Linked DNA regions of Saccharomyces cerevisiae S288C. The protein of the gene in region 2 binds, or shares a complex with, the protein of the main gene of each other region. Each region holds a gene or a part of one and is shown on either strand. Other genes may lie near its edges. A codon is read from its position in the direction of its gene.

The links. The genes of interacting proteins can lie anywhere in the genome.
Region 1: the proteins of SPT7 (region 2) and SPT3 are in contact, whole or in part, in a cryo-EM structure (PDB 6T9K), measured with the Saccharomyces cerevisiae proteins. Residues at the interface, in NP_009637.1 of Saccharomyces cerevisiae: Ile912 (codon at 4,262), Ile915 (codon at 4,271), Arg916 (codon at 4,274), Cys919 (codon at 4,283), His920 (codon at 4,286), Ile922 (codon at 4,292), Gly995 (codon at 4,511), Glu997 (codon at 4,517), Ile1010 (codon at 4,556), Tyr1014 (codon at 4,568), Asn1017 (codon at 4,577), Lys1020 (codon at 4,586), Thr1021 (codon at 4,589), Leu1045 (codon at 4,661), Glu1046 (codon at 4,664), Asn1047 (codon at 4,667), Gly1048 (codon at 4,670), Asn1050 (codon at 4,676), Lys1066 (codon at 4,724), Lys1069 (codon at 4,733), Leu1070 (codon at 4,736), Ile1073 (codon at 4,745), Lys1076 (codon at 4,754), Leu1077 (codon at 4,757), Phe1080 (codon at 4,766); in NP_010680.1 of Saccharomyces cerevisiae: Leu145 (codon at 1,082), Gln146 (codon at 1,079), Met148 (codon at 1,073), Phe149 (codon at 1,070), Asn150 (codon at 1,067), Glu151 (codon at 1,064), His152 (codon at 1,061), Pro153 (codon at 1,058), Leu154 (codon at 1,055), Asp316 (codon at 569), Met317 (codon at 566), Arg318 (codon at 563), Ala321 (codon at 554), Leu322 (codon at 551), Asn324 (codon at 545), Phe325 (codon at 542).
Region 3: the proteins of SPT7 (region 2) and TAF6 are in contact, whole or in part, in a cryo-EM structure (PDB 6T9I), measured with the Saccharomyces cerevisiae proteins. Residues at the interface, in NP_009637.1 of Saccharomyces cerevisiae: Arg168 (codon at 2,030), Gly171 (codon at 2,039), Asn172 (codon at 2,042), Leu175 (codon at 2,051), Lys176 (codon at 2,054), Arg178 (codon at 2,060), Tyr179 (codon at 2,063), Trp182 (codon at 2,072), Gln183 (codon at 2,075), Ala185 (codon at 2,081), Ile186 (codon at 2,084), Asp728 (codon at 3,710), Asp731 (codon at 3,719), Ile734 (codon at 3,728), Lys751 (codon at 3,779), Arg752 (codon at 3,782), Thr753 (codon at 3,785), Glu754 (codon at 3,788), Leu849 (codon at 4,073), Glu851 (codon at 4,079), Tyr852 (codon at 4,082), Ile854 (codon at 4,088), Ser855 (codon at 4,091), Asn856 (codon at 4,094), Ala857 (codon at 4,097), Ile858 (codon at 4,100), Pro859 (codon at 4,103), Asp860 (codon at 4,106), Ile861 (codon at 4,109), Val862 (codon at 4,112); in NP_011403.1 of Saccharomyces cerevisiae: Asp67 (codon at 1,853), Arg74 (codon at 1,832), Tyr82 (codon at 1,808), Gly83 (codon at 1,805), Tyr84 (codon at 1,802), Tyr85 (codon at 1,799), Asp86 (codon at 1,796), Gly87 (codon at 1,793), Ser88 (codon at 1,790), Glu89 (codon at 1,787), Glu112 (codon at 1,718), Glu113 (codon at 1,715), Glu114 (codon at 1,712), Val115 (codon at 1,709), Asp116 (codon at 1,706), Phe117 (codon at 1,703), Asp118 (codon at 1,700), Leu120 (codon at 1,694), Ile121 (codon at 1,691), Asn122 (codon at 1,688), Glu123 (codon at 1,685), Pro124 (codon at 1,682), Leu125 (codon at 1,679), Pro126 (codon at 1,676), Gln127 (codon at 1,673), Val128 (codon at 1,670), Pro129 (codon at 1,667), Arg130 (codon at 1,664), Leu131 (codon at 1,661), Thr133 (codon at 1,655).

What each region holds. Positions count from the first base shown.
Region 1 is NC_001136.10:1,257,028-1,260,209, reverse strand, and holds SPT3 (transcriptional regulator SPT3), read right to left. Parts: upstream 1,515-3,182; coding exon 501-1,514; downstream 1-500. Other genes in the region: SHE9 (She9p), read right to left, coding at 1-309; IAT4 (Iat4p), read left to right, coding at 2,154-2,852. UniProt on the Saccharomyces cerevisiae protein: Component of the transcription coactivator SAGA complex. SAGA acts as a general cofactor required for essentially all RNA polymerase II transcription. At the promoters, SAGA is required for transcription pre-initiation complex (PIC) recruitment.
Region 2 is NC_001134.8:400,753-406,779, reverse strand, and holds SPT7 (SAGA histone acetyltransferase complex subunit SPT7), read left to right. Parts: upstream 1-1,528; coding exon 1,529-5,527; downstream 5,528-6,027. Other genes in the region: E2 ubiquitin-conjugating protein UBC4, read left to right, coding at 1-152; AAA family ATPase SEC18, read left to right, coding at 5,890-6,027. UniProt on the Saccharomyces cerevisiae protein: Component of the transcription coactivator SAGA complex. SAGA acts as a general cofactor required for essentially all RNA polymerase II transcription. At the promoters, SAGA is required for transcription pre-initiation complex (PIC) recruitment.
Region 3 is NC_001139.9:297,678-301,454, forward strand, and holds TAF6 (TATA-binding protein-associated factor TAF6), read right to left. Parts: upstream 2,052-3,777; coding exon 501-2,051; downstream 1-500. Other genes in the region: SLD3 (Sld3p), read left to right, coding at 1-261; ribosome biosynthesis protein NSA1, read left to right, coding at 2,301-3,692.

The sequences.
Region 1 (3,182 bases), on a different chromosome or scaffold from region 2:
TTGAATTGATTTTTTGGCCTTGTTAACTTGAAAGGATAATTGATCTCGGTGGAAGTTAAACCTAGAATACAATTCATTTAATTTCTTTTTCAAGTGCTGCCATTGAAGTTCTATATTTTCTTTCCAAACAGCGTTATTAGGTGTCCGTATTTCATTTTTATTAGTGCTGCCTTTATCAGGAGTATCACCGTTCTGTAGAGAATATGAACTATAATGAAATGGCCTGGTGAAAGATGACGCCCTCAACATTAATTTGTTAATGCTGAATACTAAGGGTAAGTTTCTTGTCGCCCCATAGTATCTCAACATCACGCAATTTTTTAATCACTGAGTTCACCCGTTACAATTTCACAACGAAAAAGACCCCAATGATCAGATAGTCCTCTTTATAACGCGTATCTACGTACATAATCTTTATTTGTATTTTTCAATTCATTTGGCTCACATTTATCATACCAGAAGGAAACCCATGCACCTCCATGATGAAATTATACAAAAATTTACATGATAATTGGTTTAGAACTGAGTCTACCACCTTTAAAGTTGGTCAAAGCCCTATGCCTCATGTCAATTGTTTGTAGTACTCTCCAGGCTTCCTCTATATGCCTTGGTTTGAGCGGGTTTATAACATTTTCAGGTCCATCAAATAATCTTTTCTTTCTATGTAATGTGGATGATGCAAATTCAAAGTTAGTATTATCTTGGCTAGATTGCTGGGATTTGTCCTTTTGAGTCTGTAATACCTGTTCTCTTTGTTTGATTTTCAGAGCTGTTTCCGTCAAAGAACAGACAATCTCAAAAGTTAGAAACCCCAGTATATCAATCACATCATCATGGGGTTTCCCCTCAGTTAATTGCGAAATTCCAGACCAGTCCTTGAACCTTTTATTCTTCCTAAATGTAAAACTTGCCTGTCGACAATCGGACCAATGCACGTACTCCTCTTTAGTCATGTTTCGTGTTCTATCGTCAGCCATTTTCAGCCTTTTCAAAGTGACTATATTAGCTTCTCGTTCATCCTCATCCATATCATCATTGTCGTCATTATTTTCTAAAGGATGTTCATTGAACATAAACTGCAATTCCCATGGCAGCTTAATTTGGGATTTCTTGACCTTCATCATGTTTCCACCATCTTTTTCGTCTTTCTCGCCACCACCTGCTTTTTTCAAATCATCTTCACCACCTGCCCCAGGATTTCCAGTGCCACTCGCTACACCGGCACTAGCATCTTGGTCCTTGGCGTTTTTACGCAAATCCTTCCATGACAGATATGTTCTCAAACGATTGACTTTGGCCTTGTCGTGTCTGATCAAGAAAATGACGTCTTCAGGGAGAATGCTCCTACTTCCCCTAAGATGCGCCGTTTTGTTTGACTGTAAAAGAATTTCTATCACTTGACCCCTCACTATATCTTCTATCAGTGATGTGGTTTCTACGGGTGGGTCGTTAATTTCACCAGAGACAAACATCATCTGTTGAATCTCCACACGATACTTATGCTTGTCCATCATTCCTGCCCTAATCTCTTGAATTTTGGCACGGTACCTTGTATGCACTCTTCCCCGGGTTCAGAGTGTCTTCAACCTTACTTTTTACTTTTCGTTTCCGCCGATCTATATTACATGGTTCGGATTTTCTTCTTTTCTGTGCGCTGCGCTTGAAGCCTCAAGAAAGGGCAGCTTTGAACAAGACGTTCTTGCGATAGAGATGAATGAGAATGCATTGAACGCAATGTATACCTATTTTGGCGGCATAAAAAACTTGTTTTCGAGATTGCAGTTGAATCTGAATGTAGCGAGGAGACGAACAAAAAATTGGAGTTCCTACTGTATTGCAAAGAAACTAAGAGACGCCCGCTAATGCTGCCGGAAATGTACGGTGATCTCTTAAAGTTGATTGACCGATAACGCAAAAATAATGCAGCAAACTGTAGATAACTCTTTTTTATCGTAATATTTCTATTAGTATCCAGATATTTCACTCCAAATCACAGCAGACGTTGGTGTGAACGGCATCAGAGTCCCAGGGGCTGAGATAAGTGAAAAAAATGAAATGCCGCCGGCGTATATATAACAGTTATTGTACCTGATATTATGCCAAGTCACTCACTAATCTCGAGAAAATAATTCTAAGACATGTAACCGAACATCATGTCCTTCGAGAACAAACTGCCAACTCCATTAGAAAACAACGATGCTAAGGGCCATATGGTCTGTACCCTGAACAAGACTACGGATGCCAGAAGAGCAGCAGAGACTTTGTCTATTGCTTTTAGTAACTCGCCAGCGTTTCATTTTATCTGCAAGAAAATCTTAAATATTCCTCTAGCTGAGAAGGTGCCTACAAGGACAATAACCACCGATATCATATCGCCATTCCTGGATTCACCTTATGGTGAGATCTCCGAAGTTAATACTTTCGATGCTGTTGCAGTGTGGAGTCTTCCACCTCACGTTCCGAAGGCAAGGAGTAATGATGCAAAGTTCAACAAGGACTTTATTGACGATTTAAATGCTCGCGTAAAGCAAGTCATTCCAAATGGCATCAATTACTACTATCTTTTCTGTATTGGTAAGAACTTAAATGAGAAAGGAATCAGAGGTTCTGTAAGGACTATTTTTGAAGAGTACAAAAGGAGAGCAGACGAAGAAAATTGCGCCATTGTCCTTGAAGCTATTGCCGAGCATGCTAAATCTGTGTACGAATATTTTGGATTTAGAAATTACATGACGTTCAAATACGGTGAGTGTGAGGTCGACTCTAACGGCAATTGCGATCCGAATGGTGAAGGGTTCACAGCCTATTTAATGATATATCATAAGGACGGTAATAAAGTCTTAAAAGAGTAGTTTTTGAGCTTTTTCTTTCCCCCCTTCAAGTAATTATTTAGAATAAAAAGTAGTGTTTAAAGACGACATTTTGGAGCATGCACTGTATAACCAGGTTCAAAAAAATTTCGCCTGCTATTGTTTTCTTTATTTTGAAGATGTGAGAAAAGTCTCATATCTAGTGAGCTTCAGTCTGTTTTTAGATGTAGTTAGCAATTACTATTTTAGGTATTTCTTTGCGCGGTTACGGTCTCAAGAATTTATATTACCACAAAACCTATGTAAGCTAGATCTTCTTAGCGAAAGTGGTTCAGTGGTTAGAATTCATGCTTCCCAAGCATGGGGCCCGGG
Region 2 (6,027 bases):
CTCTATCGAAGGTCCTATTATCCATCTGTTCTTTGTTAACAGACGCTAATCCTGACGATCCTTTAGTACCAGAAATCGCTCATATCTACAAGACTGACAGACCCAAGTACGAAGCTACAGCCAGAGAATGGACAAAGAAATACGCTGTATAAACAGAAGTCCTTACTCAGCTGAAAAAGAGAAGCAAGATTTATATGGGATTGGACGATGAAAAGAATATTAGATACAATGTATTTAAGAAAGAATACAATAAAATATATGTATATTCTATCTCTAATAACATAGATTTACTGATATAAGATATAAGACTATTGTTGGCAACAGTACAGGGGAACCTTTTTTTTTTTTTCCAAACAACTCGAATCGTAAACCTTAATTTAATTTATTCAGGGGAGATTCATGAACATTTTTTTCCTCGAACAGTATGGAGAATTTTTGCTTAGTTACATGCACGCAAGCGCGGGTATATCCCGCATATATTTCAGTTGTGGTTCATATTTGACCTAACTTGTCGAGGGAGCGTCAACGTTAACCGTACCTTTTTCATTTCTAGTCTATCTGTAGGTTAATTACTATTGTCATTAACATCATTTCTGGGGTGAAGCCTATTTAAATTTTTGAAGTTCAACGCATAGCTAGTATATGTAATCAACGATCAATGACTGGTTCTCTGTTTGGCAAAAATTCTGAGGAGCATTACACTGTACTAAGGAGGCAGAAGAATAACTGCAGGAGTAGCCAAAAAAATCTCCGCGACGGGGAATTGAACCCCGATCTGGCACGCGACAAGCGCCCATTCTGACCATTAAACTATCACGGAAGAAACAAAGCACTCACGATGGGGGTCGAACCCATAATCTTCTGATTAGAAGTCAGACGCGTTGCCATTACGCCACGCGAGCTACTATTTGTTGAAGGTTTTATGAAATAACGAAAACATGTTTCCTCTAAAGATGGATGTGCTTCCAGTATTATTCTTGTATGACAATTCATTTGTTTTTGGTGTCGGCTTGTATTAAAGACTTATATCTGTAATATATCTGTATAAATACCAATGCAAGGATATATTAAATGAAAGTTAGCATATTTCAATTGGCTTTTTAGAATAAAGACGAAATTTTTTTAAAGGTAAAATACCCCACTGAAACCTTATGCTCTTTTATTGTACATATAGGAAAATTGGTCAAATGCTGGCCAGCTTTAACTGAAATAAATCTCTACAGGAATGCTTGTTGGGACTAACTCCAGTGAATAATTATTAGGGCTGCGATTATATTCTTGATGGTACGGGTAACTTTCTAATATTTCAGATCCAAGTAATGAAAAGTGAATGTACACTCGTAAGTCTTCAATTATGTTAGATGTACAAAGGAAAAAAGATCATTGGAGAAGTTGGCAAAATACATCTTTTATTTATTTAGCAAGTCAAACAATAAGATCTTTCCTTTTTTCAGATTGAACTTCGGATCAGTGAAAATTGTTGGTTACTCTTTAAACTGTAACACTACAAAGAAATTAAGTCTGAATAATGACTGAAAGAATACCAATAAAGAATTATCAAAGAACAAATGCCAAAGCTTTACTTAAATTGACTGAAAAACTTTTTAACAAGAACTTTTTTGATCTCTATTTAACCTCTCAGCAATTGGTCGTTCTTGAATACCTGCTGTCGATTTCAAGTGAAGAAGACAAACTGAAAGCATGGGACTATTTCTTAAAGGGAAACATAGCATTAAATGTCGAAAAATCATTTCCATTAACCCAAGAAGAAGAACATCACGGAGCGGTCTCTCCTGCCGTTGACACACGATCAGATGATGTATCATCACAAACAATTAAGGACAATAACAATACTAATACCAACACCAGTATCAGCAATGAAAATCATGTTGAAAATGAAATTGAAGATAAAGGCGATAACGCAATAGCAAATGAAGATAATTTTGTGAATAATGACGAAAGTGATAATGTTGAAGAAGACTTATTCAAATTAGATCTAGAGGACTTGAAGCAGCAAATAAGCGGAACAAGGTTTATTGGAAACTTATCCTTGAAAATCAGATACGTCTTGTGGCAGTGCGCCATAGATTATATATACTGTGATCGTAATGAGTTTGGTGATGAAAATGATACAGAATACACCCTATTAGATGTTGAAGAGAAGGAGGAAGAGGAAATTGGTAAAAATGAGAAGCCACAAAACAAAGAAGGTATTTCGAAGTTCGCCGAGGATGAAGATTACGACGATGAAGACGAGAACTATGATGAAGACAGTACAGACGTAAAAAATGTCGATGATCCTCCAAAAAATCTCGATTCTATTTCCTCTTCTAATATCGAAATTGACGATGAACGACGCTTGGTGCTAAATATCTCAATATCAAAAGAAACACTGTCAAAGTTAAAAACAAATAATGTAGAAGAAATTATGGGAAATTGGAACAAAATTTACCACAGTTTTGAATACGATAAAGAAACTATGATAAAGCGATTAAAACTTGAAGAAAGCGATAAAATGATAGAGAAAGGAAAGAAGAAACGAAGTCGAAGTGATTTAGAAGCAGCTACCGATGAACAAGATCGCGAAAATACAAATGATGAGCCAGATACTAATCAAAAATTGCCCACTCCTGAAGGTTCAACATTCAGCGATACTGGGAACAAGCGCCCCAAACAAAGTAATTTAGATTTAACAGTCAATCTAGGCATCGAAAATTTATCATTAAAGCACCTTCTATCATCTATCCAGCAAAAAAAATCCCAATTAGGAATATCAGATTACGAATTAAAACATCTGATTATGGATGTCAGAAAAAATCGGTCAAAATGGACATCGGATGAAAGAATTGGGCAAGAGGAATTATACGAAGCCTGTGAAAAGGTTGTTTTGGAACTTAGAAACTACACTGAGCATTCTACACCATTTCTGAATAAAGTGAGCAAAAGAGAAGCCCCCAATTATCATCAAATCATCAAAAAGTCCATGGACCTGAATACTGTTTTAAAAAAACTGAAAAGCTTTCAATATGACTCCAAACAAGAATTTGTAGACGATATTATGCTAATATGGAAAAATTGTTTGACCTATAATTCAGATCCTTCACATTTTTTGAGAGGGCATGCTATTGCTATGCAGAAGAAATCTCTTCAGTTGATTCGCATGATTCCAAATATCACAATCCGAAACAGGGCTGATTTAGAAAAGGAAATTGAAGATATGGAAAAAGACAAAGACTACGAATTAGATGAGGAAGAGGAAGTTGCTGGTTCTGGAAGAAAAGGATTGAATATGGGAGCTCATATGTTGGCCAAAGAGAATGGCAAGGTGTCAGAAAAAGATAGCTCTAAAACCGTCAAGGATGAAGCACCAACCAATGATGACAAACTAACTTCTGTCATCCCTGAGGGGGAAAAAGAGAAAGATAAAACTGCTTCATCTACTGTAACGGTACACGAAAATGTAAATAAGAACGAAATAAAAGAAAATGGGAAAAATGAAGAGCAAGATATGGTTGAGGAAAGTAGTAAGACTGAGGATTCATCAAAAGATGCTGATGCTGCCAAAAAGGATACGGAAGACGGACTACAAGATAAAACTGCAGAAAATAAGGAGGCTGGGGAAAATAATGAAGAGGAAGAGGATGATGATGACGAAGATGAAGACGAAGACATGGTCGACTCCCAATCTTATTTACTTGAAAAGGATGACGATAGAGACGATTTGGAAATATCCGTGTGGAAAACTGTAACTGCCAAAGTTCGTGCGGAAATTTGCTTAAAAAGAACTGAATATTTTAAAAATGGAAAATTAAATAGTGATTCAGAGGCGTTTTTGAAAAACCCACAAAGAATGAAAAGGTTCGACCAGCTTTTTCTTGAATATAAAGAGCAGAAAGCTTTAGAATCATATCGTCAAAAAATAGAGCAAAATTCCATTATGAAAAATGGCTTTGGAACAGTACTAAAACAGGAAGACGATGACCAATTGCAGTTTCATAATGATCACTCTTTAAATGGAAATGAAGCTTTTGAAAAGCAACCCAATGATATTGAGTTAGATGATACCAGATTCCTACAGGAATATGATATTAGTAACGCCATTCCTGACATAGTATACGAGGGAGTAAATACTAAAACATTAGACAAGATGGAAGACGCTTCCGTGGACCGCATGCTTCAAAATGGTATCAACAAACAAAGCAGATTTCTGGCTAACAAGGATTTAGGACTAACACCTAAAATGAACCAAAATATCACACTGATTCAGCAAATTAGGCACATATGCCATAAAATATCCCTGATCAGAATGTTACAGAGCCCTTTATCGGCTCAAAACTCCAGAAGCAATCCCAACGCTTTCCTTAACAACCACATTTATAATTACACTATTATTGATGACTCACTCGATATTGATCCGGTGTCACAGCTTCCAACGCATGATTACAAAAACAACAGGGAGCTGATATGGAAATTCATGCATAAGAACATATCTAAGGTTGCTATGGCCAATGGGTTTGAAACTGCCCATCCATCAGCAATAAACATGCTTACTGAAATCGCCGGGGATTACCTATCTAATCTGATAAAGACTTTGAAGCTTCATCATGAAACTAACTCCTTAAATAGAGGAACAAATGTGGAAATGCTGCAAACAACACTGTTGGAAAACGGTATCAACAGGCCAGACGATCTATTTTCCTATGTTGAATCTGAATTTGGTAAAAAAACTAAGAAACTTCAGGACATCAAACAGAAACTAGAAAGCTTTTTGAGAGCCTTATTAAGGCCAACTTTGCAGGAGTTGTCCGAGAGAAACTTTGAAGACGAGAGCCAAAGCTTTTTTACAGGTGACTTTGCCAGCGAATTGACTGGTGAAGACTTCTTTGGTTTTAGAGAGCTTGGATTAGAAAAGGAGTTTGGAGTTTTGAGTTCATCTGTTCCATTACAGTTACTGACTACTCAGTTTCAAACTGTTGACGGGGAAACCAAAGTGCAGGCCAAAAAGATCCAACCGGAAGAATCAGACAGCATTGTGTATAAGAAAATTACAAAAGGTATGCTGGATGCTGGTTCATTCTGGAATACTCTACTTCCCCTATTACAAAAAGATTATGAACGTTCCAAGGCCTATATAGCAAAGCAAAGCAAGTCATCTGCAAATGATAAAACCTCAATGACTTCCACAGAAGACAATTCTTTCGCTTTACTAGAAGAGGATCAGTTTGTCTCAAAGAAAACCGCAACGAAGGCAAGATTACCTCCTACTGGTAAGATAAGTACCACATACAAAAAGAAACCGATCGCAAGCGCGTTTATACTTCCAGAAGAAGACTTGGAAAACGACGTAAAAGCGGATCCAACAACAACTGTAAACGCCAAAGTGGGTGCAGAAAATGATGGAGATTCTTCCTTATTTTTGCGAACGCCTCAACCTTTAGATCCTTTGGATATGGATGATGCTTTTGATGATACCAATATGGGCAGCAATAGTTCATTTAGCTTGAGCCTTCCTCGCCTTAATCAATAATGAGCGCGCTAAATAGTTGAATATTTTATCTTTAATTAAATACATTTGCTTATAAAGGTTGTACTATTTACTTGTAGTTGATGTAGGATTCCAATTCAATGCACTTTAATACTCAGAGTACGCTTTATACTTCTGCAGTACCCTCTCTAAAATGTCACCTAGTATTTTTTTCTCTTTACACAAGCGTAGCGTCACTAAAAAAAGGTATTTCCCATGGGTTAATTCGGTATCACACTATACGTTAGGCGTACCAAATTTCGAGATTCATGAAATTGGCTTATTCGTAGCCTTTAAGTACTACCGTTGTTTCTCTCAAAGATAAGAGCAAATAGTACCGTATATTCAGCCTTTATAAATTGAGTATGTTCAAGATACCTGGTTTTGGAAAAGCTGCTGCAAATCATACTCCACCAGATATGACAAACATGGATACCCGTACACGCCATTTAAAGGTGTCAAACTGTCCAAATAACTCCTATGCACTCGCAAACGTAGCTGCT
Region 3 (3,777 bases), on a different chromosome or scaffold from region 2:
ATACGCCTACATGAACGTGTAGACTCTGAGGAAAACGTACAAGTTCAAGCCACTCCTGCTGTGAAAAAAAGAACTGTGACACCTAATAAAAAGGCGCAACTTCAAAGCATCATTGAATCGCCGCTAAATTTCAAGGATGATGATACGCATGAAGGCAGAAAAAATACCTCCAATATTACCTCTACTCCCACTAATAAGCCCCCGGAAAATAGCTCAAAAAGGAGAGTAAGAAGACGTTTATTTGCTCCAGAATCCACATAGAATAAGAAACTGCGAGACCACCTTCGCTGGCAAGTAGTTGACCCAACTCCATCTTTGTAGCTTTTCTTGGACGAAAAGGGAATAAAATAAAACTAAGCTACAACAATTTCGCACTTCGGGGGCCTTTGAGTATACAATTAAATAACTCATCATGCATATATATATATATACATACAATGGCGTATGTAAAAACTGTTATATAACATTACCGTTGTACTATTAGTATAAACCGATTCTCACTATTCGCCAAAAAATATCGCACTAATTAATTCTTTTGCGTCGTCTCTTTTCAAAATGTGAAATCCAATAGTGACACCACACCTCTCTAGCAATTTTTCCTTATCCTCATCCGTAACTTTTTCACCTTTACCCTCGTACAAATCTGGTAAATCCTTTTTTAGAACTAACAATGCACTAATTACAGTATCAACCAAGATTTGAGTTTCTTCTTTAGTAAATTTGGTCCTAGTTGGATTGGAGTCATCGTTCAAATGTTCCTCTATATTGTCTAGAGTTATTCCGCTTTCATTGAATACCAAGCGCGCCCAATTATTTAGGTTTCCTAAGAAGAATCTGATGGATTCACCTTCTAGTACCGATACACCCTTTAAGCACCCATAGTAAGTCCCAAAAACACGGTTTATGTCCAAAAATGTCTTTAGCAGTGTCCTAGTTACTCTTGGCTTCAGGGATTTGTATGCTTGAGGAAATTTTTTCAATACATAGTCCAACAAAGATGCGGCAAAATCACGTAGTGCATTCGTTCTTTCTAAAAATTCATGAATTTCTTGCGGCGAATCATCTTTTGGTGATCCACCAAGTTTTTTTGCTAATAGCAAGGTTAAAATGGAAGGCATTAACGAATGAATATAAGGGTCCAGGAAAATAGAAGTATTGCTTAGTAAAGAGTAAATCATTTCCAAAATTGTTGTTAGCAATTGTAAATCGGAAAGATTTTGTGTGATTTGTTCGGCAATAAATTGAATAAAATATGGAACCAGTTGGTGCAGGCCACTATCAGTTCGTAGTGAAGTCAAAGCTGCTTGTTTCATATGCTGTGCAGCTTCATCAGCTTGACTCTTCGCTGTCAAGGTTGAAATGACCTTATTGAAATAAATCTGTAATTCTTTGGATAAAACGTGTTTCACTAAAGGTTTGACTTCAGTATTCTGTCCTGGTTTAACATTAGACAGGTGTTGAGAGGCGCCTGTATCCGTCACAGAAGCACTTGCTGTCGTCGACGTTACAGGTGTTTGGAGGCTGTTATCATTCAAAGCAGTGACAATAGCACCTCTAATAAATGGTGGTTGGGATACCCTTATATCATTCAAATTTGGATTTTGGATTATGGCAGGTTGAACCCCTTCAACTGCTAGCCAATGTGTAGTAAAAGTTGGTAGACGAGGCACTTGCGGTAATGGCTCATTTATTAATCTATCAAAATCTACTTCTTCCTCATCCAGGTAGTAAACCGACTGTCCTCCACTTGTGTTAACCTTACTAAATGATACAGCTTTATTAACTTCAGAGCCATCATAATATCCATATAAAGGTTCCACATTCAGAACACGCAGGGCCTTCGATACATCGTCTGTAGTTAAAACATCTCTTTTAGAGTGTCTTTTAAACTTGACTGCCTGTTCAATAATCTCTAGAATACGGTATTCAACGTCCATAGCAAGTGCTTTCAACACGTCATCGTTGATATTTTCCAACCCAAGCGACTCAGCGACATCTTTAACAGTATCTTGTGGAGACCAAATTGTGTAAGATTGCTGCTGTGTAGACATTTTAACAGGCTATCAACTACACTGAGGCGTCCTTTGCTTCCTTTTTAAAGCCAATCTATTGTTTTCGCTCATGAACTACTTTTGCTGCTACTTGAATCGGTGTTTGTTATTGATGGTTTCCGGGTATTTTTTTGGTAATAAAATAAAGCTGAAAAATTTTGTAAAGCGATGCCCAATCTCGAAGCCTCACTTCAATGAACATAATACAGAGAAAATTTAACCATAAATAGGCCCAGCTTCGATCGTAAAATGAGGTTACTAGTCAGCTGTGTGGATAGTGGATCCATAAAGGAAGTTTTGTGTAACATCGGGACTGACACTTCCGTACAATCAGCACTGCAGCCTTTTCATGTGGCACCTCATCTAGCCGAAGGATTGAAAGCTTACGTTGACAGGATGTGGGTGATATCCGAAGATGAAGCCATCTTAGCAAGGAATTCAGGGGTCGTCGAACTTGTAAAGATTTCGAAACACCTTAAAGAAAATGAAGCTCTCCAGGTCGATCCCAAAGGAGAAAGCAAAAATGAAAAGAGCCTTTCCGATGATCTACCCAAATTTGACATATCCGAGTTTGAGATAACCAGCTCAGTTTCAGACCTTTTTGATGATGCCAAATTGGAATCACTTTCAAGTAAATCTGTTAAAAGAACCAAGTTGGTGGATGGTTTTGTCACATTATGTCCCATAAAAAAGGATTCGTCGAATAACACATTCGTAGCTGCTACCAAATCGGGATTATTACATATTATAAAAAAAGGAGAAGATAAAAAGTTAATAAAACTAGCATCCCTTGGACTGAAAGCACCAGTAGAATTTCTTCAGTTATATGATCTAGAAGATACCGATACTGATAAATATATATTTGCATACGGAGGGGAGGAGAATTTAATAAAATTAGTGGAAATAGATTCGAGTTTCCAATCTTTAAAGCAAATTTGGGAAGCCAAGAATGTTAAAAACGACAGGTTGGATATGAGAGTCCCAGTATGGCCCATGGCCCTAAGATTTTTGGAGCCCTCCCCTGGTAAAACTGAAAAGGGTAAGCTGAACTACCAGTTTGCAGCCATAACCCGTTGGTCCCACCTCACCAAATACAGCACACAACATGGCAGAAAACCGTTCGCTCAGATAGATTTATTACCTAACCGTGAACCATTATCTCAGATGGAAGTTTTTGATGCCAAGGGAGAAAATGTTGTCTCTTCGTTGGGGAATTTTCAATCTGAAACCTTTAATGAACTGAATGTGATTACTACTGACTACAAAAAGAATGTTTTTAAATTCGATGGTAATGGAAGAATGTTGGGCAAGGTGGGTAGAGATGATATCACTGGTTCGTCAACCTATATTCATGTACATGACGGCAAATATCTTTTACAAGGTGGTTTAGATAGGTATGTTCGGATCTTCGATATAAAAACTAACAAAATGCTGGTGAAGGTTTATGTTGGGTCCCGTATAAATTTTATTGTTATGCTGGATGACGTTGAAATCGAGATGCCACTAAGTCCAAGTGCGAAAGCTGCCAAAGGGAAGCAAAAAAGGAAGGTTACAGAACTTGAAGAAGACGCAGATGAGCTTTGGAATAAATTGGAGGGAAAGGTAGCTGCTTCTAAAGCCAGTAAGAAAAGCAAAATTTAATAGTAAAGGACGCTAATTGAAGGCAAAGTTTTACTAGTCGGCGGGAAAAATTATTAAAAAAAGCACTTCCTGAACGCGACGCTGA